Macaca mulatta: one gene and its partners. The protein of the gene in region 1 binds, or shares a complex with, the protein of each later gene. Links are inferred from orthologs where the notes say so. Each region holds a gene or a part of one and is shown in the gene's direction. Other genes may lie near its edges. The genes, in order: KLHL3, WNK3 and CUL3.

The links.
Region 2: the proteins of KLHL3 (region 1) and WNK3 are in contact, whole or in part, in a crystal structure (PDB 5NKP), measured with the Homo sapiens proteins. The link is inferred for Macaca mulatta from reciprocal best matches to the Homo sapiens genes KLHL3 and WNK3. Residues at the interface, in NP_059111.2 of Homo sapiens: Lys312, Arg339, Phe355, Gly357, Arg360, Thr386, Phe402, Gly404, Ser405, Gly407, Ser432, Ser433, Tyr449, Gly451, Arg454, Cys456, Ser481, His498, Arg528, Tyr577; in NP_065973.2 of Homo sapiens: Glu537, Cys538, Glu539, Glu540, Thr541, Glu542, Val543, Asp544, Gln545, His546.
Region 3: the proteins of KLHL3 (region 1) and CUL3 are in contact, whole or in part, in a crystal structure (PDB 4HXI), measured with the Homo sapiens proteins. The link is inferred for Macaca mulatta from reciprocal best matches to the Homo sapiens genes KLHL3 and CUL3. Residues at the interface, in NP_059111.2 of Homo sapiens: Pro73, Tyr74, Ala77, Met78, Asp82, Met83, Ser84, Glu85, Glu92, Ile93, Lys94, Asp95, Pro125, Ser128, Leu129, Gln131, Met133, Arg136, Asp160, Val161, His162, Thr163, Thr165; in NP_003581.1 of Homo sapiens: Ile44, Asn49, Ser50, Gly51, Leu52, Ser53, Phe54, Glu55, Leu57, Tyr58, Arg59, Tyr62, Thr63, Leu66, Lys68, Met118, Asp121, Ile122, Met124, Tyr125, Arg128, Val129, Gln133.

What each region holds. Positions count from the first base shown.
Region 1 is NC_133411.1:146,482,575-146,492,928, reverse strand, and holds part of KLHL3 (kelch-like protein 3), read left to right. Parts: intron 1-570; coding exon 571-768; intron 769-2,299; coding exon 2,300-2,401; intron 2,402-5,506; coding exon 5,507-5,635; intron 5,636-10,354. UniProt on the Homo sapiens protein: Substrate-specific adapter of a BCR (BTB-CUL3-RBX1) E3 ubiquitin ligase complex that acts as a regulator of ion transport in the distal nephron.
Region 2 is NC_133426.1:54,062,812-54,073,165, reverse strand, and holds part of WNK3 (serine/threonine-protein kinase WNK3), read left to right. Parts: intron 1-1,258; coding exon 1,259-1,490; intron 1,491-1,883; coding exon 1,884-2,014; intron 2,015-2,805; coding exon 2,806-3,416; intron 3,417-7,297; coding exon 7,298-7,509; intron 7,510-10,354.
Region 3 is NC_133417.1:129,720,460-129,729,714, reverse strand, and holds the end of CUL3 (cullin-3), read left to right. Parts: intron 1-1,602; coding exon 1,603-1,748; intron 1,749-5,519; coding exon 5,520-5,651; 3' UTR 5,652-6,305; downstream 6,306-9,255. UniProt on the Homo sapiens protein: Core component of multiple cullin-RING-based BCR (BTB-CUL3-RBX1) E3 ubiquitin-protein ligase complexes which mediate the ubiquitination and subsequent proteasomal degradation of target proteins.

The sequences.
Region 1 (10,354 bases):
TTTCCCTCCTGCACAGTTTTTTTTTTTGTTTTAAGACAGTCTTGCTCTGTCACCCAGGTTGGAGTGCAGCGTCATGATCTTGGCTTACTGCAACCGCCGCCTCCTGGCTTCAAGTGATTCTCTCACTTCAGCCTTCCAAGTAGCTGGGATTACAGGCACACACCACCATGCTTGGCAAATATTTGCATTTTTAATAGAGACGGGTTTCACCATGTTGGCCAGGCTGGTCTTGAACTCCTGACCTCAGGTGATCCACCCACCTTGGCTTCCCAAAGTACTGGGATTACAGGCATGAGCCACCACGCCCGGCCACTTGCACAGTTTTTGGCTCTTTTGGGGTCAGTTCTTATGAGCTTGGGGAGTTAAAGCTGATTCAAGTATTTACTTGAGTCAGACAAAATTAGAAAAGCAAGTAGGAAAGAAATCCAGTGAATCCCATGACTGCCAAATATCTAAAGTATCTTCGGTGGTGACTTTTCCTGTGTCTGTCTTGCTCCTCCATTGTCATCCATCAACTTGAGCAGTCATGCGCCTGACCTGACCTTGATGTCTCGGTTTCCTGTGCCTCAGGTGTGGTGTTCATGGCTGGCCACGTGTATGCCGTGGGAGGGTTTAATGGCTCACTGCGGGTGCGGACAGTGGATGTGTATGACGGCGTGAAGGACCAGTGGACATCCATTGCCAGCATGCAGGAGCGCCGGAGCACGCTGGGCGCAGCGGTGCTCAATGACTTGCTCTACGCGGTGGGAGGCTTTGATGGCAGTACTGGTAGGTTCAGGGTGTGTTCCCAACCCCTCCTAGCCTGGGACACACCCTCCATGAAACCCTGTTTTATTCAGCCAGTTCTGGACCAACTTTCTGTCCATTTGTAGCTACTGCCCCAGGGAGATACCACCCTTCTGCCTCATCCAGCTTTCAGGGGAAGAGCCAGGCCTTCTTGCACACAGAATATGTAACTGCCCATGTACTAGGCTTTCTAGGACTCAGAAGAGTCCCTTTCCTACTTTTCAGTGTCTGGGAACCTATTTACTCAGAAGATGAGACTTAGAAGGAGAGCATGCTTAGCTGGGGGGTGCCTCAGGCCTCCAGTTTGAATCCTCTGGGAGCTGAGTTCAGCACTTGAAAGAAACCTGGCTCAGGTCACGCAGTGGGCCAGGCTGCCCATTTTTTCTGTTGCCCTTTCTACTACTCCACTTGAAGCTTTGCCAGGCTTTTTCACCATAGGTGAGCCTTCTTGCCTCTGGACTCTATCTAGCTTCAAAATTTCAACCCGAAACCATTAGTTGACATAAACTCAGAGAGGTGATCTCATCTCTGCTCATGTTGCCAGGTAGGTGTCTCAGTAAACAGTAGCTCTGTTAAACTAATATGATATCCTTTGGCCCCCAGGGAGGGGAAAAGCAGTGTTTTTTTACTTCTCTGAATTTTTATTTGTGTCTTCACAATTTGGGGATTTTTCTCAGCCTTCTCTTTGCCTCACTCATATAATTCCAGGGCTTTAGCCCCTCTGGAGGCTGACTTTAGTGAGTGGGGCAGAGAACGAAAGGGTAGTGGTGCATTGTTTCTTTTGGAAATTACTTTTGGCTATAAGTAGAGAACCTGATTAAACTGTGCCTTAAAACATGAGGGATTTTGCTTTACTCATGAAACAAGAAGCCTAGAGGTTAGCAGTGGCTGAGTTGGTCCAGTGGCTCATGGACATTGAGACCCCATTCTTTAAGATTAGATTTTCTTGGCCTTTTTCTCATGATCATGAGATGGCTGTTATACCTCCAGCCAACACATTTGTGTTCCAGGGGAGAATGGTATCTATATCAGAAAAGCAAAGGCCGTTTCTAAAATCCCCATAGACTTCTGCTTAGGTCTCATTGACTTGGTCACCCCTAGCTGCGAGGGAGTCTTGGAAAGCAAGTGTTTAGCTTTCCACTGCTAAGATAGACGAAGCTGGGGGAAAGGGGATTGGAATAGGTGTTCAGTGAGGCTACCTCAAGTGACTACTTGGAATCAAAGTATCTCACTCTGCAGTTTTTATGATCTACGTTTGCCATGCATTTCAGACACACCCCCTGTCCTTTCACAGCCCACTCTCTGGGTCAAGTCTTAATAGTCCCCGCAGGTAGACACTGCAGATGTGTTTGAGGGAGTCGCCACAGGCCACATGGTGATTCAGAGGTGGCACCGAGCCATACATTTAGGTTTCCAGCCCCTGCATTTGGACTCCTCCCCCATCCTCACTGCTTCTTACACAGCAGGGTGAGGCCTGGTGCCATGGAAGTCTCATGAGTCTCTTGTCTCCCAGGCCTAGCATCGGTGGAAGCCTACAGCTACAAGACCAACGAGTGGTTCTTTGTGGCCCCGATGAACACGCGGCGGAGCAGTGTGGGTGTGGGCGTTGTGGAGGGTAAGGAGGTGCAGTGGCCGGTGGCCAGGCCTATCCGGCCCACAGGCCTTGTCCTGGGTCCAGCATCCTGCTTGGTGCTTCCTCTACCTTGGTTTATTCCTGAGATCACTCCTCTGAGTTAGGTACTATTATCCTGATTCAGCAGACGAGACTCAGAGAGGTGGTGGAGCTCCTGGCCCGTGGTGGAGCTGGGCTGGGGGAGTAGAAGGAGCCCAGAGGGGAAATGCCGGCCTGTGGTTTGGCCCCTTGTCAATAGCTCTGCTGGAGGTTGGGGAGGGGAAGGGAGTAGGGAATCTATAGTCAGCATGTGACCCAGGAGGATAATGTAGTGGAGGGAGAATTAAATGTGTTTAATGAATTTTGTCCTCATATTCATATGTTGAACATTAACAGAACTGTGGGTGAGGTAGGCACGCCTTCTTAGGTCTGATGACTGTCTCTGCAGGGCAGGCTGGTGATCGAGTCCAGCTCTAGTCAGGAAAGCTGTGTAGGGTAAGGCAGGAGGGCGTGGTGAAGTCTCGGGCCTGGTCAGATGGTACACATTCGTTTGTTAAAAAAAAAAAAAAAACAAAACTCTCACGTCTAGTCTCTCGTTTTGTTTGCAAAACCCTTGTGAAAGAGATAGGCAGGACTCAGATTTTCTCCATCCTCCAGATGCCCCACATTCTAATGACAGTAAATAGCACAGCCTGTCCTTGAACCCAGGTCTTCTGACTCCTAAGCCGGTACTCTTTCCACTGTGCTATGCCCCTTCAGAATGCTGACAAATGCCAGTAGGTAGGAGTTCTGTAAATATGTGTGAATTCAGTGTACCAAAGCATAGACTATTACTTGAACTAAAATGTTATTTGCAGGACAACACTGATTCATCAACCTGTGCGAGTGTGAGAATTTAGATGGAATATCTGTTCATTCAGACATGTGTGCAGACATTCCATCTCTCATGTACATACTCAAGAATACACATGCAAACACAAATGTGTCCTGGGGACAGCGTAACATTCAGCGAGTTAGACATTCATAGAAATATTCTTTTCTCGCACTGTATTTCTCAGTCTGCACTGGTATTGTGTAATTTAAGTTTTCGTTTAAAGGTATACTATTCTAACATACTAAATAAGTCATCTTTGTGAGGGCAAGGATTTTGTCCTCCTTCCAAGGTGAATTGTGTCTTGCAATCTCATTCTCTTGGTGGAACAGAAATTGATTTGTCTGCCAAGTATAAGTGCTTTGTCTAGCCACCTTCTCATTTCTTCTCTTGTTCCTTAGCCAGGAATATCAAACAATAGAGTAGGGGTTAAAAATAGCAAATCCCTGTTAATAGACTGAAGGAGGAACCTTGAGTGTGTATTTTTTCAGCTGATGCAGATGGAATGGTTGATGGGGGTTAGAGGAGGTGCCATAATGGTGGTAATTTAAAATACTCCCCTTGACAAAAGCTTTTGTGAGCATGTTCTGTATGTGGAAGAAGTGCTGTCTTGTAGCACGCCCTGTTGACATGGAAGACAGGCTGGGAATTTGTTTCTTCTGCCCCTCCTGAATCTGAAGCTCTTTCGGCTGTGGGCACCCTGGGGCAGCAGAGTCCAATTTACAGCTGTGGTGAGAATGTTGAGGGAGGAACTTAAGTGGACTCTGCTTCACTGTGGCCTTGAAGAGACAGCTCTCTGCAGTGTCTGGCTTCCTCTCCTCCCTCTCATCATCTCATTACCATGGCTATACAGTTTGAATGACACTGAAAAAAAAAAATGGAGGAAATCGCAATAATTTGCTACTGGCTGCCTCGAAGAATAGCTATTTAGGAAAAGACTGTGTGGATCAGAGTACAGGCAGAGGCTCCCCAAGAGAATGGAGAGTGTGCTATGGAGATTGTCGCATCTGAAGCAGCACACACTGTACAAGTAGCCTGGACCATAGAAGGGCTGCTTAGTCAGGTTTTTAAAAAATTTTCACTCCGGTGCGTGCAGAACTGAGGGGAGGGTGTGTTTGTTTCTTCTAGATGGGTCAATTGAGAGGACCCTGGGGCAGAAAATAAAGCCAGGCTCGATGATGATAGAAGAAAAACATTTTTACATTTGATAATACAGCAGTAGTTCTGGTAGCAGAGTATAGGTTTGAGCCTGAGAATCTTTCTAACTTAAAATAATTGCGGATTTTCAAATACTAGTAGTATTCTTGGTGTCTATCCATCAAGAAAGCACATATGACCAAAAAATCTACCAAGTAATCCTGTTAAATGGATTTGCATTTGGCGATGTTTATTTAGTCTGCAACTAGTGTGACTCCTCCCTCTGTTCCCACAGAAGAGACCATCCCATTGCATTTTAAGACTAAATTTTAAACCCAAAATGTTTGAATTTCTGCTTTGGGATAGCTCAAATGCCAAATGTTTCCTCCTGCGTCCAGCCTCACTGTCAGCTCTCAGCCCCAGGCGGAAATGATACTCTTGGGTAGCAGCTTAATGGTATTTTAATTTAAAAGTAGATGACGGCACCTCAGGGCTCTTGTGTATGGCTCAGAGATCACAGGGTAGTCTGCAGAAAAATTCCAGCCACCCTGGCCCATGATGTACAAAGAACACTCCATTCACACACTGTACCTGCCAGGGTTGTGGAAGGGGTAGAGACAATGGCTAAGACAGGTTTTGGGTTCTCATTGAAGAAGATTTTTCCATATTTATTTCATCTGCTATTTCAAGCCTTGAGCCAGAAAGGTGGTCTGCCTGCGTATAGCTGGGGGCCTTCTAGCTTTCCATCTATCCAGTGCTGGTGTCTTGTTCTAGAGAAAATTTAACCTAATTCACCAGCAAGATTATGTTGAGTCCCAGTGGTGCCAGGCCATAGCTTTGGGCTGGGTATTTGGGGGTGCTTATTTAGAATGTTCAGTGTTTGCTTCTAAGGAGCTCATGGCTTAAGAGCAAGTAGAATATGTGAAGAAATGTGAAGGATGCTTTGCTTGGTTGAGGAGTAAGTTGGTGGTCCCCTGGAGAAAGAGGGAACAGAATTCTGAGGTAAGGGTGCCCCAGTTGGTTGCAGATAGGGTTTTAGCTGAGCTCTGGTTTCATGCCAGTGTCCCTGGCACCACACTCAGCCACTTTGTGTGTTGCAGGGAAGCTATATGCTGTTGGGGGTTATGATGGAGCTTCCCGCCAGTGTCTGAGCACTGTGGAGCAGTACAACCCAGCGACCAATGAGTGGACATATGTGGCGGACATGAGCACCCGTCGCAGTGGCGCAGGTATGGGAGAACCTCGGGATGCTGGCTGTGTCTGATTTGCTCACAAGTGGGTCTTTACATTTTTTTTTGTTTGTTTGTTTCATTTTAGATTCAGAGGGTACATGTGCAGGTTTGTTACATGGATATACTGCATAACAGTCGGGTTTGGGCTTCTAGTGTACCCATCACCCAAATAGTGACCATTGTACCTAATGGGTAATTTTTCAACCTTCACCCTCCTTCCAGCCTCATCCCTTTTGGAATCCCCAGTGTCTATTGTTCTCATCTTTATGTCCATGTATACCCATTATTTAGCCTGTACATGTAAGTGAGAAGATACGGTATTTGATTTTCTGTTTCTGGGTTATCTCACTTAGGATTATGGCTTCCAGCTCCATCCATGTTGCTGCAAAGGACATAATTTCACCCTTTATTTGGCTGCATAAGATTCCATGGTGTATACATACTGTATTTTCTTTAATCAGCCATTGATGGATACTTAGATTGGTTATATGACTTTGCTGTTGTCAATAGTGCTGCTTTAAATGTAACGACTGTACATGTCTTTTTAGTATAATGATTTCTTTTTCTTTGCATAGATACCCAGTAGTGGGATTGCTGGGTCAAATGGTAGTTATATTTTGAGTTCTTTGGGAAATCCCCATACTGTTTTTCCATAGAGGTTGTATTAATTTATATTTCCACAACAGTGTATAAGCATACCCTTTTCTCTGCAACCATGCTAATGTCTTTTTTTTTTTTTTTTTTTTTTGAGATAGAGTCTCACTCTGTTGCCCAGGCTGGAGTGCAGTGGCGCCATCTTGGCTCACTGCAAGATCCGCCTCCCTGCAAACTCCGCCTCCTGGGTTCACGCCATTCTTCTGCCTCAGCCTCCTGAGTAGCAGGGACTACAGGCACCCACCACCATGCCCAGCTAATTTTTTGTATTTGTAGTGGAGATGGGGTTTCACTGTGTTAGCCAGGATGGTCTCGATCTCCTGACCTCGTGATCCATCTGCCTCAGCCTCCCAAAGTGCTGGGATTGCAGGTGTGAGCCACTGCACCCGGCCTTTTTTGACTTTTTAATAATAGCCATCTGACAAGTATAAGATGATATCTCATTGTGGCTTTAATCTTCCTTTTTCTGATGATAATCATCAGATGTTAAGCAGTTTTTCATATGATTATTGGCCACTGGAGTGCCTTATTTTGAGAAATGTCTGTATGTATATCCTTTGCCTGCTTATTAATGGGGTTGTTTTTTCCTTGTTGAGTTGTTGGAGTTCCTTGTATATTCTGGACATTAGTCCTTTGTTGGGGGCATAATTTGCAAATATTTTCTCCCATTCTGTAGGTTGACTGTTTACTCTGTTGATCATTTCTTATGCTGTGCAGAAGCCTTTTTGTTTGTTTGTTTAATTAAATTCCATTTGTCTATTTTTGTTTTTGTTGCACTTGCTGTTGGCATCTTAGTCATAAATTCTTTGCCTAGGCCAATGCCCTGAAGAGTTTTTCCTAGGTTTTCTTCTAGGACTTTTATAGTTTCAGGTCTTACATTTAAGTCTTTAATCCATCTTCAGTTAATTTTTGTATATGGTAAGAGACAGAGGTCTAGTTTCATTCTTGTGTATGTGACTAGCCACATACAGCACCATTTATTGAATAGAGTGTCTTTTCCCTATTGTTTTATTTTTGTCGACTTTTTTGAAGATCAGCTTGTTTTAAGTATGTGGCTTTGTTTCGGGGTTCTCTATTCTGTTCCATTGATCTCTGTGTCTATTTTTGTACCAGTACCATGCTGTTTTAGTTACTATAGCCTTGTAATATAATTTGAAGTCAGGTAATGTGATACTTCTGGCTTTGTTCTTTTTGGTTAAGATTGGCTTTGGCTATTCGGGCTCTTTTTTGGTTCTGTATAAACTTTAGGATTGTTTATTCTAATTCTATGAAGAATGATGTTGATAGTTTGGTAGGAATTGTGTTGAATCTGTAGATTCCTTCAGGGAATATGGTCATTTTAATGACATTGATTCTTCCAATACATGAGTATGGGATGTTTTCCATTTGTTTGTGTAATCTGTGATTTCTTTAGTCAGTCACAAGTGGGTATTGGTTCAACAACCTAACATTTTATTTTAACTCCTCCTTCTTTCGTTTTGCTGTATATAATCCCACTAGCACCTTTGCAGCTAGACACAGCACTTATAAGTTAACCTTTCCTGGGAGATCACTAGAGAATGGATGAGATAATAACGCTCCTCATCATCGCTTATGTTTCTATGAAGGTGTTTACATCTTTTGAAAGTGAAGGCTTACTATGTGCCAGGCACTGTCCTAACAAATACTTTTTATGCCTCAATCCATTTAATCCTCACTACAGCCCTACAATGTGGATACAATATGAATTCCACTTATCAGATTTAGAAAGGAAGGCTGCCAGTGGTTGAGTAATTTGCCCAAGGTCATATAATTAGTAATGCTGACTCCAGAGTTAGTTTTTTAAATCCCTAAATTATCAGTCTTATTCCTCTGAAGTAGTAGGACAAGTCTTCAGTTGACAAAGCTGAGCTTGCCTGTCTGGGATTGAAAGCCAAGCTATTAGTGTTCATGTTTGGAGATAACTTATGTCCCCTGCTCCCACTTTTCCTCACTTCAATGCATTCCCCAACATGGGAAGAAAATGAGTTTCCAAAAGGTTTCTACTTCTACTTCTTGTCAGAAAACCAGAAGCTCTATGGTCCTTTGGGATTTTTCAGGAAGCGGAGCAACAACCCCTTCTCCCCTGCTTTGTCTTCCCATCCATTGTCTTAGAGGCCCAAAGGGAAGGGTCTGAGGGCAGACAGAGGCATCAGTCCACTGGTTCTTTATTGCTGGTTCCTGTGGTCAGTGGTGACTGATTACCAATCTGATCCTGGCGGGAAGGCTGTGTGACTTCTGAGAAGGGTAGCCACATTCCCACAATGTTATTCCTTTCTCTCTCTCTCTCTTTTTTTTTGTGTATTTTTGGAGATTGAGTTGTGATCTCATTTTATAGTACCAAACATATGACCACTTCCTCAGCATTCTTTAAAAAGTATGCTATTTTAATATTTTTAAAGAGCCTTTGTGTGCTCACTGGTTTCAAAAATAAAATCTGCATGATGCCATTTAAGAAGTGTTTGTGTTTGGAGTGCTATTTTTAGGGAATTTTTGTCTCTGCTGATTCTGACAGGTTGGCCCTTCCTGAATGTGGAGCCATTGCCTGGAAGTCAGGAGGCCCGGGACTTGGTGCTGGGTCTGCTCTCATTTGCCATATGACCTTCCTTGGGCAAATCCCTTCCCTTATTCTGGCCTCTAATTCCTTATATGTGAAATGAGTGGGTTGTAGGGTTGTAGTAGATGTTCCCTAAGAACCAAGTCAATCCACAAATCCCATGATTCTTTTCCTGTCGTAAACCTCTTTCGGAAATTTTGGTTTCTAAAGTTTTGGTAGAGTCTTCTTCGTACTCCCTAGAAATCCTCTGTTGTGACGTAAGGGGTGAGAGCTCAGCATGCCTGGGGCAGCACACCCTGAGATGCGTGACCGCTCCTAGGGCCGAAAGCCTGGGGAGGCAGCCGGGCGTGAAGCCGCCAGGGCAGACCTGCGTTAGGAAGCTCAGGCTTGTCTCTGTGGAGGGAGCCGCCTTTGGAGACTACAGCTGCTTTGTCTCTGCCAAGCTGCTGAAATGGTTATTGCTGGGTGGACATCACCTGGCCCTATTCCTGTCTCTTACCTACACTGGAGGACCTGGAGGGTGACACGTCTGTTGCCTGGGAGTGCAGTGTCCCTGGGAGGCACACTGACCTTGATTTAGGAAATCAAAACCAAGCCTTTTTCCTGAGGTTACTGTCAGAGCCCTGGCCTCCGACTCCCAGGTCAGCCTTTCTTCAGTGCTTCACTTTGGTGAGATTTGGGCAAGTCTCACCTCTGGAGTTGGGAACCCACATACTTATCAAGGTGGGTGTTCTTGTTGGCTGAAGACCCAGAGACCAGAGGCCCTGGCCTTTGGCTGCCTGAGGCCCTTTGAGGTGCCAGGAGCGCCTGTGGCTCTAGGTCCAGGACGCCGCTGCATGAATGTTTATGGATGAGGCTGCACTAGGGCAGAGGCAGAGTTGCCTGAGTGCCTGGAAGGCAGCTCGCTTCCTCAGCAGGGTGTGGGCAATGCTACCAGATGGTTAGGGGAAAAAGAGGCCCTCTCTCAGGGAATGCGTGTTCCTGCTGAGCATGGAGGAAAGGAAGGTGAGGCAGCTTTGGAACTCAACTAATTGTATTAAACCTGTCAGTTAGAGAGAGCCATTGTTGATACGACAGCGCCATCTGCTGTTAGTTTAGAGCAACTGCTGGGAGCCACTAGCATACCCACGTAATTGCTGGGAGGGATTTTATTAATTTATATTTTTGTCATTCAAGCAATATTTCTTGAGAACCTACTGCCGTGGGGCACAGGGAAGCAGACGAGGACAAGGTAAAAACAGTCCTCATCCATATGGAGTTATAGTTTACAAGTCTGGTTCTTGGGTCTGAAACCTGGCTGCACATCCCAGTCACCTGAGGAACTTTCTCTGACTCCTGACCAGTGTGGAATCTCTCTTGTAAAAAGCCTCCCAGTCCGTTGAGATGCAGCCTGCCCACGGAGTGGAGTAGTCTGTGGTCCATGGGAACTACTGATCTAGTACAACTCTTTCCCTTTACAAATAGGGAAACTGAGGCCCAGAAAGGGG
Region 2 (10,354 bases), on another chromosome or scaffold:
ACAATTTATGCCCTGACCAGCCGTAAGTTTGTTTTTGTTTTTTTGTTTTTTTTGTTTTGAGACAAGAGTTTCGTTCTTGTTGCCCAGGCTGGAGTGCAATGGTGCAATCTCGGCTCATTGCAACCTCTGCCTCTGGGTTCTAGCGATTCTCCTGCCTCAGCCTCCCAAGTAGCTGGGATTACAGGCACGCACCACCACGACTGCCTAATTTTGTATATTTAGTAGAGACGGGGTTTTACCATGTTGGCCAGGCTGGTCTCGAACTCCTGACCTCAGGTTATCTGCCTGCCTCAGCCTCCCAAAATGCTGGCATTACAGGCATAAGCCACTGCACCCGGCCCTGCCCTAAGTATTAATAATGCTTACCCAACACATCATACTTCCTGCCAGTAGGCTATCTTCCTTCAGGCAAATGCTAAATCCCATTCTTTGTGCTTTTATATATTTTTTTAATCTTCTAGATTAGTAGTAACCCTTCTCATGTTTCCCAAAGTATTTGTGGTTGTCTGTGCTAACTTTTCATATTAATTATTATAGAGGATTTATCTTTAAAGCACTCATTTAGATACAACAGTTATATCTGGGGCCCTTTTTGGTGGGGGAGTAGGAGGACAAGAAGAGGGGAGTGATTTTGTAGCCAGGATAGCCTGATGTTAACAAGAATTTTTAGAGCATGATTTTGAAGTAATTTTGATGTCCTTTATAAATTTCCGTATGCTTTCATAAAGTAATAAACTTGATTTCCTCATACTTCTCTGTAAATCTAAGTGCCTCGATAGCTTGTTTTTCTCTGTTTGTGTGTTTCAAGCATCTTTAACTGAGTCTCTTAAATAATATAGGCATAAATGAAAAATTTCATGATAATAGCTTGGAGTTTTAGTAACCTTTTTAGTAAACTGGCACATATGAAGGAAATTTTAATTTGATTTTCAGTTTTCAAAGTTTGTATAATGATGAAAAATATTCTGGGGTAGAAGATTAATATTCTCTTTTATTTACTAAAGTCTAAATAATATTTTTAAAGAAACAAGAAGGCTTAATTTTTGTAAATGGAGTACCTTGGGTTCAGTCTAATATGCTACTATTAATGCAACTAATACATAATACCCTATTTTGGGTTAAAGATCAGTCTGTACAAGAAATTCCAGTGTTATTTTTTTTAAAAAAAGCTTCACCTTACCTAAATTATTACCACTTTGGTTTTTCTCGGTTGTTTTGTTTTGTTTTGTTTTGTTTTGTTTTGTCTTGTCTCCATTAGGAGATGTCCTCAGATGCTTCACTTCCAGGGGATCCAGAGGCCTATCCTGCTGCTGTGTCAAGCGGTGGAGCCATTCATCTGCAGACAGGAGGTGGATATTTTGGCCTAAGCTTTACTTGTCCTAGTCTCAAAAATCCTATTAGCAAGAAATCCTGGACTCGCAAATTAAAAAGCTGGGCATACAGGCTACGGCAGTCAACCAGCTTTTTCAAGAGATCAAAAGTCCGTCAAGGTAGTGTGCTTACAGTCAGGGACATAGACTAGGTAACATCACTTTTCATTTACTTATTTTTTTGTTGTTCATATACAAATCTTGCCACTTTTTCCACGTAGCCCATGTATGTGACATGTCCCATTAATGTCATTGCCGTTTTATTTTTTCCTTTTGTAACTAATTTGGTTTTCCAGTTATTCATTTCATATAGATACTAAGTCTTGGGATAAATCTTGCAATGTCTGATTTAGACTTAGGGACTTATACGATGTTGCTTATTACATTAACACCTTTTAATTGTCTAGCAGGAGTTAAGCTTTTTCTACTTTTCTTCATTTTTGGTAATGTAAACAAATTTAGTCTTAACAAACAATTTTCTCTTTTCTACTTACAATTTGGCAAAACTTGCAGTGGAAACAGAAGAGATGAGATCAGCAATTGCTCCTGATCCCATTCCTCTGACACGGGAGTCTACAGCTGATACTAGGGCTTTGAATAGATGTAAAGCGATGAGTGGATCATTTCAGCGGGGTCGGTTCCAGGTTTGTGTCTTTGATTGAATCCTTATCTACAAGGGCATTATAAAACATAACAGCCACTGGAGATCTTGGTCTGTAGATGATACTTCCATTTTTGTTTTTTGTTTTTTTGTTTACTGAGATGGAGTTTCACTCTTGTTGCCCAAGTTGGAGTGCAATGGCATGATCTTAGCTCACTGCAACCTCCGTCTCCTTGGTTCAAGCGATTCTACTGCCTCAGCCTCCCGAGTAGCTGGGATTACAAGTGCACGCCACCACGCCTGGCTAATTTTTTGTATTTTTATTAGAAACGGGGTTTCACCTTGTTAGCCAGGCTGGTCTTGAACTCCTGACCTCAGGTGATCCACCCGCCTCGGCCTCCCAAAGTACTGAGATTATAGGCGTGAGCCACCATGCCCGGCTGATGATACTTACTTTAAATGTAGATCATTGTCATATTTAATTTGTTCATCTTCCATGCATCCCCTCACTTTTTGAAGCCATCAGTAAAGATGAGTCTACAGAAATGGATAGTAGCTGGTAGAGAGCACAGAAATAGTTTTTTTTTGGCAGGTGGGTGGGTCCTCTTTTATAAATGTAATTTCACGTCTTTTAGAATCTCAGCAACTCTAATTGTGGAATTTTATTTGAGCAATATGATGCCCACTCTCTTTACCCAAGGGGCCTGTTTGAAAGAGTGAATTTGAGGGTATAGATTAAATTTTTAAGTTTTGCTAGTATCAATACATATACATCACAGCAGACCATCTACTTGTCTGTGCTATGCTAACCACTTTTACATTTTTATATCTCAGGTGATTACAATTCCTCAGCAGTCAGCAAAAGTGACATCTTTTGGAATAGAACACATATCAGTGTTCAGTGAGACAAACCATTCTAGTGAAGAAGCCTTTATTGAAGCAGCAAAGTCTCAGTTGGTAGAAATAGAACCTGCCACACAAAATCCCAAAACTTCGTTTTCTTCTGAGAAGTTACAAGCTCTTCAGGAAACCTGTAAAGAAAATAAAGGAGTTCCCAAACAAGGTGACAACTTCTTATCTTTCAGTGCAGCTTGTGAGACTGATGTATCTTCAGTGACCCCAGAAAAGGAATTGGAAGAAACTTCAGCCACAGGAAGTAGCATGCAGTCTGGATCTGAACTGTTGCTTAAAGAGAGAGAGATATTGACTGCTGGGAAACAGCCTAGCTCTGATAGTGAATTTTCAGCCAGTCTTGCTGGCAGTGGAAAGTCAGTGGCAAAGACTGGTCCAGAGAGTGATCAGTGCTTACCACACCATGAAGAACAAGCTTATGCTCAAACACAGAGTTCACTCTTCTATTCACCATCTTCCCCAATGAGCAGTGATGATGAATCAGAAATAGAGGATGAGGACTTGAAGGTGGAGCTTCAAAGATTACGAGAAAAGTAAGGACTGTTTCTCTTTTGTCACAAATCTGGTTGCCCTGGATTTTATAGAACTTAGTATTTGATTGGTAACTAATTTAGGATTGTTGACATTTTAATGATTGAAAACTACAAAGAATGCTAATGCTAAACATTTATGAATGAGAAAAAGTTCTTATATATAAAATGTTTTCATAGTCTCAAGACTATTACAGTTGCTTATTTACCAATATGATTTAATTACTCCTTTTGTTAACCTTTACAGTCCTTATTCTTAAGGACTTTTGGTTTTAGATTTTACAACTATTCTTATATAATTTCACATTTGATAAGTAAACAGCTGATTTATTATAATCAGAGATAGTGGTTCATCTTCTTTAGGAAAAGGTAAGATACTTTCAAGATCAAGCTTATTATTTGGTGACTGAGGTAATCAACCTTCACTAGTGAGATTATGATAATATATTTTGTCAATAGAATGCTGTTTTGTATTTAGTTTTATAAAATAGGTCATTTTAAAAAAAGAAATTCAAGCCAGCTGGGCATGGTGGCTCATGCCTGTAATCTCAGCACTTTAGGAGGCAGAGGCAGGTGGATCACCTGAGGTCAGGAGTTCGAGACTGGCCTGGCCAACATTTTGAAACCTTGTCTCTACTTAAAAAAAAAAAAAAACCATACAAAAATTAGCCAGGCATAGTAGCAGATGCCTGTACTCCCAGCTACTTGGGAGGCTGAGGCAGGAGAATTGCTTGAGCCTGGGAGGTGGAGGTTGCAGTGAGCCCAGATTGTGCGCCACTGCACTCCAGCCTGGGTAACAGAGCAAGACTTTGTCTAAAAAAAAAAAAAAGAAAGAAAAAAAAGAAATTCATATTAAGTTGCTGAATTCTAATTCTATCCACATGGTTCAAAATTCAAAAGGTACAAAAGGGTAACCAGTAGTCTCCCTCCTAGCACTGCAGCTGAACTACCCAGGTTCTCTCCTTACACACAATAAATATTACCTGTTTCTTGTATATCCAGTTAGTCTATAACCGTACAAACAAATATGCATATTTCATTCTTTGTTCCCCCAAATAGTAACTTACACTGCAAGACTGTTCTTATATCTTGGTTTTCTTTACCATTTCATGGTATCTTGGATATATACCTGTATCATTATATTTTTGACTGTTTCAAAGTATTCCAGTATATGCATATACTCATAAGTTAATTACTAGCCTCCTATTGATGACCCCATGCCATTACTTTGAAAAGTTGAAACCAACTCTAGCAATTTTTTAATGTATCTTATGCTTTAGAGAATTCCTGCACTGTTATGGAACTTAATTTGTAAAGCAGAGAGAACCAGGGAGGACTAAAAATATAGGCATGTAAAAAGCTGGATTTGGCTGGGCGCAGTGGCTCATGTCTGTAATCCCAGCACTTTAGGAGGCCGACGTGGGTGGATCACCTGAGGTCAGGAGTTTGAGACCAGCCTAGCCAACATGGCAAAACCCCGTCTCTACTAAAAATACAAAAATTAGCCAGACGTGGTGGCGCCTGTAATCCCAGCGACTCAGGAGGCTGAGGCAGGGAGAACTACTTGAATCTTGGAGGCGGAGGTTGCAGTGAGCTGAGATCACACCACTGCACTCTAGCCTGGGTGACAGAGCGAGACTCCATCTCAAAAAATAAAATAAAAAGCTGGATTTTAGTCAAGTTCTTACAAGCTTGAATAATGCTCCATTTGGATGCTGTGTTTGAGTGCTTCAAGAATTAAAGCAGGTTAAAATCCTTGGAAATTTCTTAGTTTCTAAGGCCTTGCCTCGAGGAGGAAAAAAACCCAAAACTGTCATTCCAGTGATAGATAATTATAATATATTCTCTCTAACTTGTTTCAGTGTTTTTGACTTGAGCTTGCAAGAAAATTGTGAATATATACTTTAAATATTCATCACCAGAAGGCTGATATTCCACTTTAAAATATATATACAGGCTTGACATTACATTATGTATATGTCAACTTATATATTAAGTACTATACAGTATATGTACACTGATACTTTTTATAATAAAAGTTATTAAAGCAGTTTCATATTTGTGATGTAAGTATTCTATTGCTGGTTTTTTGTTTGTTTTTCTGTTTGTTTTTTGTTTTTTTTGTTTTTTTGAGACGGAGTTTTGCTCTGTCGCCCTGGCTGGAGTGCAGTGGCGCGATCTCAGCTCACTGCAAGCTCTGCCTCCTGGGTTCATGCCATTCTCCTGCCTCAGCCTCCTGAGTAGCTGGGACTACAGGCGCCCGCCACCATGCCCAGCTAATTTTTTGTATTTTTAGTAGAGATGGGGTTTCACCGTGTTAGCCAGGATGGTCTTAATCTCCTGGTCTCGTGACCCGCCTGCCTCGGCCTCCCAAAGTGCTGGGATTACAGGCATGAGCCATTGTGCCCGGCCTTCTATTGCTGTTTTTAATGGTTCTTTTAAACCATTGTCAAATGACTGGTAGCTTTTGTAGCTGGCTAGTTTTTTGTAACTGGCTGGTTGTGAATATGTGCTTAATTTTGAATGTGAGACATGAATTCTCATAACCTCATATAACACAACACCTGGAAAGGATCTTTTATTTTGAGACAGAGTCTTACTGTGTTGTCCAGGCTGGAGTGCAGTGGTGCAGTTGCGGATCATTGCAGCCTCTACCTCCTGGGCTCAAACCATCCTCCCACCTCAGCCTCCCAAGTGTCTGGGCCTACAGACATGTAACACATCCAGCTAATATTTAAATTTTTTTGTAGAGATGAGGTCTCCCTGTGTTGCCCAGGCTGGTCTCAGACTTCTAGCCTCAGGCCATCCTCCTGTCTCAGCCTCCCAGAGTGCTGGGATTACAGGCATGAGACACCACGCCTGGCCTAGAAGGGATCTTAAAAAATAATTTATTCTGCCTTCAGTGTTCTTTTAGCATTATGGTTTCTTCACCGATTTTTATTTATTCTTTCTTTTATTACTATTACAATTATTATTATTAAGACGAGGTCTTGCTCTTTCGCCCAGGCTGGAGTGCAGTGGTGCTGTCATGGCTCACTGAAGCCTCTACCTTTGGCTCAAGAGATCTACCTGCCTCAGCATCCCAAGATGCTTGTACTACAGGCACATGCCACCATACCTGGCTGATTTTTTTTTTTTTTTTTTTTTTTCCAGAGAGATAGGGTCTCACTATGTTGTCTAGGCTGGTATCAAACTCCTGGGCTCAAGCGATCCTCCTGCCTTAGCCTCCCACAGGCGTGAGCCACTGCGTCTGGCAAAAATGTTAATATTATTAATACTATTTGACTTTACATTTTGTTTTACTGACTTTCACTGTATTTCAGTTTTAGAAATTTGTTCATCTTTTTCTTCATGAGTGATTCTTATAGTTTAATGTTATGCTTAGGAAGGCATTTCCCGCTTCCCCTCTGGAAATTGTGAAAATACTCTGTGTTTCCCCCATTCTTTCCTCCCTCCCTCCCTTCCTTCCTTCCTCTTTGACAGGGTCTCTGTCACCCAGTCTGGAGTGCAGTGGTGTGATCTTGGCTCACTGCAGCCTTGAATTCCTGGGCTCAAGTGATCCTCCCACCTCAGCCTTTTGAGTAACTGGGACTACAGGCATGCACCACCATGCCCAGCTAATTTTTTTTTAATTTTTTTTTTAAGAGAGATAGGCTCTCCCTACGTTACCCAGGCTTGTCTCGAATTTCTAGCCTCAAACAATACTCCTGCCTTGGCTCCCCAAAGTGCTGGGATTATGGACGTAAGCCATTGTGCCCAGTCTCTATTTCCCCATTCTTAATCTAAATTCCTTGTTAAACTTTACTTATACTGGTGTAGAGTTTCTTGGCTCATCTTTATGGAGCCAGTGCCATTAAAATGCTTTTTGCATGATTTTCATTCAGACACATTCAGGAGGTGGTAAATCTTCAAACCCAGCAGAATAAGGAGCTGCAGGAGCTCTATGAACGCCTTCGGTCAATTAAAGATAGCAAAACCCAATCTACTGAGATTCCTTTGCCACCTGCATCACCACGTCGACCAAGATCTTTCAAAAGCAAACTTCGAAGCCGCCCCCAGTCCTTGACACATGTGGACAATGGCATAGTTGCTACAGGTAAATCGGTCATAAAAGTAATTTTTTAAAAATCTAAGATTTTAAAAATCCAAGATTAGCAAAATGAGAAAAATGATTATAATACAATTTATTTTTAATTAGGCTAAAATAATTTAAAGAAGTACACATTATTCTGAGATTATTTTCTGTTTTTGGTGTTAAATGTCCTTTTATGTAATAATGATTAGGATAATTGATAGACTGTAGAGAGAAGCTGAGTGTGCTTCATGCTTTTATTTGGAAAACCAGCAGCTGGAAGCCCAATGCCAATCCCCACAGTAATTTTTGAAATGTTATCAGTCAGTGGGAACTTCTGGTCTAGCATTTAGAGTTTGTTGGAGAGTTTGTTGGTAACAAGATAATCTTAAAAATACACTTGGCCGGGCACAGTGGCGCACGCCTGTAATCCTCACACTTTGGGAGGCTGAGGTGGGCCTATCGCCTGAGGTCAGGAGTTCAAGACCAGCCTAGCTAACATGGCGAAACCCCATCTCTACCTAAAATACAAAAATTAGCTGGGTGTGGTGGCAGGCGCCTGTAATCCCAACTACTCAGGAGGCTGAAGCGGGAGAATTGCTTGAACCCAGGAAGCGGAGGTTGCAGTGAGCCGAGATTGCGCCATTGCACTCCAGCCTGGGTGACAAGTGCGAAACCCCATCTAAAATACATATATATATATATTTTCTCTGGCCAGGCGCGGTGGCTCACACCTGTAATCCCAGCACTTTGGGACTGTAATCCCAGCACTTTGGGAGGCTCAGGCAAGTGGATCACCTGAGGTCAGGAGTTCGAGACTAGCCTGACCAACATGGTGAAACCCCATCTCTACTAAAAATACAAAATTAGCTGGGCGTGGTGGCTTGTTCCTATAATCCCAGCTACTTGGGAGGCTGAGACAGGAGAATCGCTTGAACCTGGGAGATAGAGGTTGCAGTGAGCCGAGATCATGCCATTGCACTCTAGCCTGTGCAACAAGAATGAAACTCCGTGTCAAAAAAAGAAATGTATACATGTATCTACACTCATGCTCTTATCTGAAGAGATCTTCATTTATTAGTTATAAGAATATTAGTAAAATATACTTCTTTGACTTTGAAAAGTAAGAGCATCAGTCTCTACTTAACTAATAAAGAAGTTGTTAATCAGGTCAGGCCTCTTTGGTTATATGTGCATAGTCAAGGTGGGGGTTAAGGATGTATTGTAAGGACATAAGTGAAATCCCAGCAGAACTTGTCGTAGGCAAAATAATTCCCCCACAAAACGTCCATGTGCAAATCCCTGAAACTTGTGACCATGGTAGGATATATGGCAAAGTCTCGAGAATTAAGCTTGCAGGTGGGATTAAAGTTGCTAATCTGCTGACTCTAAGATAGGGAGATTATCCTGGATTATCCAGGTAGGTCCAGTGTAATCACTAGGATCTTTAAAAGTAGAAGAGAAGAAACACAGAAGAGTCAGAGAAAAGGGAAACAGTGTCAGAAAGGTGCAACATTGCTGGCTTTGAAGATGGAGGAAGAGTGCCACAGACCAAGGAATGGAGGCAACTTCTGGAAGCTGGAAAGGCCAGGGAACAGACCTCTGCTTTAGCCTTCAGAAGGAACACAGCCCTGGCAACACCTTGATTTTAGGCCAGTGAGGACCGTGTTAGGCTTGTAACCTAGAGAACTATAAGATCAATCAATTTGTGTTGTTTGAAGCCACTAAGTTTTTGGCAATTAGTTACAACAACAATAGACAACTAATACAGAACCCAAGAACAGGAACTGTACTTGGATGATCTTGTAAAGACAGAATTAAAGGGTAGACTTAGATTGAAGGCACCTCTGGGGATTTAATAGCAGAAGTACATGAACCTTCAGTCTGATACAGTATCACTAATAGCTATACTTTATTTTATTCTGTTGCATTCCCAAATGGCTTCATTTTATGCATAATTTCTGCTTTCCCAAAACTGGTTGTTAGATAACATTGGTTACTCGTGATCCCAAAGCATTCTTTCACTTTCAGGTCCTTATTTAACTGACCTTTGTTAGATTCCAGGGACAGAAAATTTGACTGTCCCTGCTCATCTTTTTCATGCGAAGAAATGGGTCAGAGCCATTGCCTGGCCTATAGTTGGGCTGTTCTACAGTCAGGTGTCCACCTGTTTCTAAGTAAGCATGGCCAGAGAAGTACGATCTCATGGTAAAAACATGTCTCTGGAGACTGTCTTTGGGATTCCGCAACTTATTTTGTGTTATAATGGATGTACCACAGTTTGTTTATCCATTCACCAGTTGGAGGACATTTGGGTTGTTTGTAGTTTGGGGTTTTACAAATAAAGCTCCCGTAAATAGTCACATACAGCTTTCTGGGTGAACATAAGTTTTCAGATCACTTGGATGAAATACCCAGAAATGAGATTGCTGCATCATATGGTATGCATATTTTACATTTTTAAAAAACAAACCATTTTCCCAAGCAGCTGTATCATTTTACATTTTGTCAGCAATGTGCGAGACTTCCAGTTTTTCTGATGTTCTTCAGCACTTGGTGTTACTAGTATTCTTTTTTTTAGCCAATCGAATAGGTATTTGGTGATATAAAGTGGTTATTTTATTATAATTTTCATTCCCCTAATGGTTAGTGATGTTGAGCATTTTTTTCTTGTACTTATTTGTGTTCTGTGGTAAACTGTTTGTTCAAGTCTGTTGCTATTTTTTTGTATCCTGTTTTATTTTTAATTGAAATTTTCATTGAGATAATTGTCGATTTACATGCAGTTAAATAATACAGAGGAATCCTATGTACCTGTGTACCCTTCACTCAGTTTATCCCAGAGGCAACAATTTTTGTCATTTTAGAA
Region 3 (9,255 bases), on another chromosome or scaffold:
ACATCTATGTTTTTCTGCAGGTATTTAAGATGACGCTTATTTAGGTGACCAAATCCAGATGAGCCAAAGGGATTGTTTAAACAATTACTTTTTTCCCTGCAACTTTGTATTTTTTATTTTCAAATCCACAAAGTGAAAAGCACCATAATGGACATCAGTATGGCTGTGACCTACGTTTACCAGTCATTAGAATTTTGTCTTCTTCCATGCCTTCCTCTGTGTGTATACGAACCCGTGTGTGTGTTTGCTACAGCGTTTGAAGTTAATTTACAAATATCTCAACAGTTTCCCCCTAAAAAACGTTAGCACACACCTCCTATATCATATCCAAGAAAATTAATTACATGTCATCTGTTTACACCCATATTGCCTCAGTTGTCTCAAAAATTTCTTTTATATCTCACTTTTTGGATTCATGATTCCCTCAAGATTTCCATATTACATTTAATTTTTATGTCTTTTTAGTTCCATTTAAACCAGTACCTCTTATCTTTTTTTTTTTTCATGACGTCAACTTCTGAGGAGAAGCATCATAAGCATCATTCTTAGTAGATTATTTTCTTCGATTTTTCTTTTTTTTTTTTTTTTTTTTACTAAGATAATGATTATCTTACACTGGGGAAATGACACTGAAAGCAGTATTTTTATCCAAAGGATTCTAATTAGAAACAGCTGAATGGATATGCACACCAGAATGATCTTCTAAATTGTACAGTCTGCTGTCTCATGGCTATCCATGCCTGTGCCTCAGTCAGCAATGCCCCATGTGCTGCTTTGCAATTTTACAATTTCTCCTTCCAGAAACTTCACATCTATCTCCTTTTGATGAACAAATAAAACATCAGTTTTCTTTTTCTGCTGTTTCATTTGGAGCAGAGTTGCAGAAGAAGAAGACTTCTGTATTTAATCCCTTAGCAGTTTCTTTGAAGACTATAGGGAAGAATAGAGTAAGACTTCTAAAGATTGGAATCTGGTATGAATTTGTGATGAGGTCGTGACATAAAAAAGCATAATAAAATATACGGCAAGAAATGGTTAGGTAACAGAACTCTAGGGAGATTTTTGGCAAGGAGATTTTAGGAACTGACATCCTAGTGGTACTTTTAAATTATTTATTTCACTGAATCTTGGCAATACATACTCTTGTCTCCGCATAAAACCTTAGAGATTACAGCTACATTTTGAGTTAGTAAGACAACAGATACTCACCTATCTGAGATACTTTTGGTGAGTTTTAACTTGGAACCATGGTAATAAAATAATCAGTTGACCTCTGACAGTCATAAGCAATGAAAATTATTTACTGGTAATTTTACTACTGAATATTTTCAGCTACTATTTTTCTTCCAGATAAGAAATTATATTCTGCATAAAAACAAAATTGACTTTATTATCTCAAAGTTAAATTCCTCATTTTTGAAAAGGATAATTTAGTATTCAAGTAAACATTAAATGAGACACTTTTTGAATGTATACTTAAGTGTGTATATTCAGAGGCTGAAATTGGTTTTTGTCTGTGGATTACATTGAATTATATTAAGCTTGCTTATAAACCAAATTTTAAAATTATATTTATGATCAATGTCTTTATTTCTATTTTAGTTGCTGCCAAACAAGGTGAATCAGACCCAGAGAGGAAAGAAACAAGGCAGAAAGTAGACGACGACAGAAAACATGAGATAGAAGCTGCTATAGTGCGGATAATGAAATCTAGAAAGAAGATGCAGCACAATGTTCTAGTAGCAGAGGTGAGGACTCTTCACGACTGGGCTAATATAGAAAAAAAAATTAACAAAATTACTGTATTCAACTAATTTTAAAAACAATTTTACAATTAAGAAATTCTAGTGATGTAACACTTATGAAATGTATGGTACTCACTTGGTAATTAAACATAATGATACATCCAAATATGTGCACACTCCCAGAACTAATGTGTTTATAACAAAAATAATAGTAGAATATTGTCACATGAAGTATTAAGAAAAAATTTTCACTGCTATTTAATACCTTTGTGTAAACAAATTCCCTTTATTTCTAAAAATTACTAATGGTTACCGTTCATTAAATGCTTTCATTTTACAAATTGGGGAACTAAGGAGGGGAAGACCCCTTAAGAGGCCATTAAGGTAGGTGGGAGAGGATTAGGACCTGGGTAAAGTGTTGGTAGAGGGTAGAAAGCTGAATCAAGATAATTGGGAAGTAGAATTGACAGGCTTACTGATTGATAACAGGAAGTGAGAGGGAGAAGTTGAAGACACCTTTTAGGTTTCTGGCTTGAATGAGTAGATAGAGATTGGTTTCTGTAACCAAAAAGACAAGGGTAATGTAATGTGCCGCTGTGGTCCAGATGTCACTTAATATTGTTTTGTACAAGTTGACTTTATTGTATATTGGCACATCCAGGGGCAGGTGGAAGACAATAGACACGAGGGCTAGAAGTTGCATTGGGAATTAGCTATATGAGAATGCAGTTAAAACCACAGGTGTGGATTAAATTGCTCAGTGTTGGCATATAGAGCAAGAAAGAACTATGGGATAGACCCCTCCCTCATCATTTTAGGAACGGTGAGTGTAACAACTAACAGAAACTCTTTAGAGCACTGGTTTTCACACTGTGGTTCTTGGAGCAGCTACCTCAGCATCACCTGGGAACTCATGAGAAACACAGATTCTTAGATTCCACCAGAGCCTGAGAATTGAATCAGAAACTCTGGGGATAGGGCCCAACAGTCTGGTTTTTTAACACGAACTGTAGGTGATTCTGATGTTTTTTCAAATTTGAGAACACTGCTTCAGGAGGAAAAGAAAACAAAATGTCAGTGCCCTAGCACAAGGGAAGAGAATTACAAGGAGTGAGTGGTCAGTAATATCAAAAATCATGGAAAAACCAAGTTGAATAAACACTTACTTTAGCAATTATGTGACAGGTTAACTTTCTCAGACATTTTCATTGGACTCGTGAAAGTGTATATCCAGTGGTAGTTCCTTGAGAGGGAAATGGAGGTGGAAACTACCAAGAGTGGCTTATTCTTTGAAGTATTGGCTCAAGGGAAAGGGCAGAGAGAGCAGTATTAGAGGATTCAGTGTAGAGTTGAAGGGTTTGGGCTTTTTTCCCCCCACAATGGGAGGATACTGAGGATGTTTATATCCTAAGAATAAGGAAGGGATCCTTAAAAACAAATGGAAAGAAATGAGATGAAGGGATCAATACCACATTCTAGAAAAGGAAACGTGAGGATTGTATAGGGAGTATGATGATGGTAGTGTACTGACACAGATGTTACTGAACATGCCTCTTCCTGAGAACCCAGGGCAGGGTGCAGGGGTATGTGCTAAGCAAGGTTTAGTGTAAGTATGGATGAATGTACATGTGTAGGGTGGGAATTTGAAGAACTTCAAATTGAAATGGCTTATTTTCTCTATGTAAAACCTGATATGAGCTTGGTGCAGGACTGGGTTGAGGAGTTTAAGGGGATTGTCAAAAATTTGAAATAATACTTGTCAAAGAATGGTGCTCAGGAACTTGCTGAACTTTTGAATACTATAAATTTGTGTTACCAGTCTACACCAGAGATTGGCAGATGTTTTTGTAAATGGCCAATTGTAGCATAGATAATACATAAATGCATGTGACTCACAGTGGCTCATGCCTGCAATCCCAGCACTTTGGGAGGCCGAGGCAGGCAGATCACCTGAGGTCAGGGGTTCAAGACCAGCCTGACCAACATGGCGAAATCCCGTCTCTACTAAAAATACAAAAATCAGCCGGGCGTGGTGGTGGGTGCCTGTAATTGCAACTACTCGGGAGACTGAGGTAGGAGAATTGCTTGAACCCGGGAGGCAGAGGTTGCAGTGAGCCGAGATTGTGCCATTGTACTCCAGCCTGGGCGACAGCGAGACTCCATCTCAAAAAAAATTAATAAAAATAAATACATATGACTGTGTTTCAGTAAAATTTTACAGAAACAGATAGTGGGGTGTATTTGGCCTGTGACTGCAGTTTACTGATTCCTGGTGTACACAAGTGGTGTAACAACTACATCTTTACTCAGCAAAGAGCTCTGTGGTAGGTTGATAATGATATATATAGAATATAGGTTTAATCAAATAGTGTTTATGAGATAGAACCAAAAGAATCAGGAGTAGAAGGTCCTGTTGAGAGTGCAGCTGAAGTGATCTTGAATGCAGTTTAGGCTCTGTTACAGGGGAGAGAGCAAGTCTATAGGAGCTGTTAATAGGCTGGAAGAAAAGAAGGGCAAAGGGTGGGAGGTCTCAGGTGGTGGGTTGAGAGCAAGTTTGTAGATACTGGAGTGGTAATCCTGGAAGGATGATAGATTGTAGTTGCAGAGTGAAGTGCTGAATTTTCAGATTTCAAAGAATTATCAATCCATTATGGCTTTGGGAAATGAGCTGATCAACAAGAGTAGAAGCAAAGCTGGCTCACGGATGGATTTGAGCAAAGAACATGGACTTTGAAGTCAGAAAGGTTTAGATTCATCTCTGCTGGCTCTGTTATTTACTACTTGTTGATGTCAGTTTTCTTCTCTGGCATATTTTCCTCATTTGTAAAATGAGACAACTTTGCAGGGTTAAGAACATTAATTAAATAGGCCGGGCATGGTGGCTCACGCCTGTAATCCCAACACTTTGGGAGGCAGAGGCAGGCAGATCACGAGGTCAGAAGATCAAGACCATCCTAGCAAACACGGTGAAACCCTGTCTCTACTAAAAATACAAAAAATTAGCCGGGCGTGGTGGTGGGCGCCTGTAGTCCCAGCTACTCGGGAGGCTGAGGCAGGAGAATGGTGGGAACCCGGGAGGCGGAGCTTGCAGTGAGCGGAGATCACGCCACTGCACCAGCCTGGGCGACAGAGCAAGACTCCGTCTCAAAAAAAAAAACCAAACCATAAACTCATACATGCAAAATGACTGATGCATAGACAGACTGTGACTGCTACTTTAGTTACTGTTTTATTATTATATGTAGCACAGTACTTAGAATCTGATAGTACTTGGAACAACAGAAGCACTTTTGATTGGGCATTATTATTCTAAGGCATTATGTCTGTTAACACATTGAGTGTACACGCCAGTGGGCCAAGGTCCCAGAGCTAGTAGTGGTGGAGCTGAGTTTATCCAGGTACTGTGAGTCCAGAGTTTGTGTTCTTAAATACATAGGCTACCCAAGTTCTGTAAGTTTTGAGTGTAACCCAGAAGTCAGTAGATAACAGCATCAAAAGGTTAAACTATAGGTGACATATACTCACACTAACATAATTCCAACTAATTCATCTATTCAACTGCTGTCCTTAGCATTCACACTCTGATTTGAGGAAGTGTGTTGTAACCATACATTACATTTTCAGACAGAACCTTTTTAAAGTTTCTGTGCTTTTAGCTTTGTTAATCCAGTTAGTAAAGTTCAATCTCTCAGTGTTAAAATGACATATCAGTTCTGTTGAAAGATAGGAATTTCTATGTGTTTATATAAAAATGCTGTCTACTTTCTTTTTTAGGTAACTCAGCAGTTGAAGGCTCGATTCTTACCAAGTCCAGTTGTTATTAAGAAACGTATTGAAGGACTTATTGAGAGAGAATATTTGGCACGAACACCTGAGGATCGCAAAGTATACACATATGTAGCATAAAATGCGTTCAGAAATTTGATTTATTCTTGGACTGTACTCTTCGCATGGACTGGGAAGTTCTTTTAAATCATTAAATATTAAGACGACCATCTCTTCTATTAAATTACAGTACATGTTCTAGACCATTGAGATCAAGCCTTTACTCCCTTTGAGAGTTTTCAACAACAGTTGATTGAGCTTCAGGCTTTACAACGTTTATCCCTGTAGAGATCATCTTTACAGTTCCTCGGGAAAATGTGAATGTGCTGCGTTTTGTTTTCTTTACTGTATGAAAACAGGAAAATAAAACAAAAATTTAGAAAATACAGCTCATTAAAATAAAATTGTTGGATTTCATTTCCCCAGGTCTTCAGTGTTGATGTAAATGTGTTTTTGTAGTGTTGCTTAGCACTTTGCGCATTGTGTAAGTTGGGTAACAAAAATGGCAAAAGAAATGCAGAATTCCCAGTTATCTTGCTCTGAAGACATTTCTTTAGCTAGTCTTACTTAATTTAAAGGTTTGATAAATATACAAAGACCCAAGCATACAATTTGAGCATGCTGTATTCTACCACTTGCACTTACTAATCTTCTAGCCTTATGACCAGGAACCTTTGTTTTGGGCTCAAGTACACATCCTGATTTGGTTTTTCCCTATTGTAATTTGAGATTCCCCAGATTAAGTCTTACAATGATTAGGTTTTGTTCTGAGTTATTTCTAGAGAAAGAAAATATTTTAGTATGTATAAATTGTACAATAATTTTTTTGCTGTTGTACTCACTGCTAATAGTGGATTGTATAGGGTGGTGTTTTTATTTCATTTATTGTAGACAAAAATAAATGAATTTAGTATACACAAACCCACTAATTCAAGTATGTCAGAGCACAAAGTTGGCAGCTGGTTATATTTAATTCAGCCCCTCTGAAAAGCACATACAGTCTATACTTTGTTTATAAATATCTTAGATCCTCCCTGCCCCTAAATATATATTTTGGTGAAGCTGTGGTGCACTATTAATTTTCTGTTTCAAAATGCAATCTAAAGATGCAATAAATATGATGACCTTGATAGTTTTAATGAAATCTTCAATTCTTGCAGCTAACTGTGTTTTGGAAAGTGATTAAGCAATATTTCTCAAACCTGATGATTCTTGGATATTTAGCTATTGTCCTCCAAAGAGTCATCGTTTCACGTTTTCAAAGATGTGCTTTGTGCTGAAGATTCTTGTCAGATATCCTGTGCTTCCAGAGTATTTTTATCTTCAATTTTATTTAATTTTCATTTTGTTTTCATAAGACAATGTTTCAGATATGTAATGGGGCAAACCACTATAGATTTCTGTTGGATAGAAAAATGAAATGTTACTAATAAGTTTAAATTGACCCTTCGTTGACTATCAGTACTGTTGATACATTTATTAGAATGTATGTCTCAGAAGATGGTTTCTGTTTAAATTTATGGTCAAGTTAAAACAACTGAATTCTAATACGGATTAAAAACTCCACATAAATATTTTTCCCCATGCGTCTTGGGTTATAATTTTCCTTTTAGACTTGCAAATATGTTTTTATTGCAGTTTTGTCTCCATCTGTACTGTAGAATTATAAGCCTTGTGCTCTTTATCTCTGCATTTTCCACTTCTACATGATGCAATGAAGATGCCAATGAAAAAGATTGTGAACATTGTTCTCGGGACACTTGTACCACACTTGAACAGTACTAGGTCAGGTGTAACATGGAAAGCTAAGGGTTTCACCTTCTGATTTTGACATAATTGGAAATTTTCTATAATGGGAAGGTGTTTATAGGAAAGTAATGTGATATTTCAGGTTTGAGAATTTTATTACTGCTTTCATTTCCCAATTAAATGATACTTAACACCTGGGAAAACAGGACAGCTCAGATTGTCGAGTTAGTAAACATGAATGATGAAAAAACTACATTTGAAATCTCCAGAGACATTAAACATTTTAGTGCTAGTTTAAGCCATTAAAAGCAAAGTTTAAGTTTACATCATTGTCTCAAGTGTGGCTGTAAAAATCAGATCTAGAGTTTAGAGACATACTTGTTAATTTCGGAGCACAGGTTTGATGTTTATGCTTCTAAATATATTAAAACATTTCTGAATTGCAGTTGAGTTGAATGGTTGGAGAATGCTGACGATGTGATGCTGCACTGAAAAAATTGGTCACACAAAACGTTTATATGTTTGACTTCATAAGTATTATTTTAGGTCATAAAGGTTATAACAAAATACACTTTAACACTGCTTTCTTTTTAGCAAGAGGTCACAGATGCTATTTTTTTTCTCAGTTTTTAATGCTTTAATTTGAAAGAAAAATGCATCCTAACCATTCTGTCCTGTTGATACGGAGAAATTTTGGTGATTTATTAAAAGAGTTCTGAGGAGGATGGGTACATAGTTTTTCAACTGCAAAAATGATGTCATCTCTTCAGTAATTGTTAAAGTGTAATTCTCTGCCTTCATTATCAAGTCCAGGACAGTGTTTATTTTCAATCGTTACATTATTTAAAGACTGAAAATTCATTGCAATTAGAGAATGCACAACCTCACAAAAAAGTGGTTGTGATGCAAGGTTTAAAAGGGAATGGTGGAAGGGATGCATGCCTTTCTAAAGGATATGTTAAGTCACCTGTGTAGCATTGTAATTATGTGCTATCAAACCCCCAAGATGATGATGATATAGCTTCTCAGTAAGAATCCTTCTCATAGTGAAGCACTGTTGATGTGTTGTTCACTGGGTATGTTGGGTAGCAGGAAAGGCTTAGAACTGATTTTAAGATGGCTACATCTCTAGAAGACTAGTACACTAGCATCATCTTAGGCTTCTAAATTATTTAATTCCTCAGTTTGGAAAGCAGTATTAATGTTTACAGTTTAACTCATTTTCCATAATAAAGGATTTTTATCTTTGTCTACTGTAACTTAAGACATGACTTTTATAGCATAATTTTTTATAAAGTATGTGGTATATTGTGTCAATCTTGGAAGGAAAGCTGTTACATATCGATTGTAGGTCATGTATTTTACTATATGTTGCATAGTATTTTGCATTCTATAAATGCAAATGTTAAAACATTGCAGGTCAGCAAAATTAGAAGTCATTTCTAGTCCTCAAAGCAGAAATAATTAGAAATGTTAGTAACATTTAAGTGCTTATCATATGCCAGATACTATTCTGAATATTTTATGTACATTCATTTAGTTGTCATATTGGCTTTATGTGAGAGAACCGTCATTATACCAGTGTTGTCCAGCATTGCTAGTAGGAAATGGCAGAGCCACGAGTTAGACCTAGGTTTAATCCTATCCATATTCCATGTTACAAATTGACACGATTTTCCATATTAAAAATTTTCCATTTATTTTGTACCTCGTTCTCATGAATAGTAATGTGACAAACTAATACATGAAGCATTGCAATATGGAATTTTGCATAATTTTGTTAGCTTTATGTTATTTGCTGATACCAACTTTTGGTAGGAAGGAAAACAGGGAAGGTGATGGCTGCCCTTCTGGAATGTGTCCATTGAAAAGAAAATAGGCGTTTTGTCTCCTGCAATCTTAGAGAAAGTTTTACATACTTAAGTGGGGACCACAG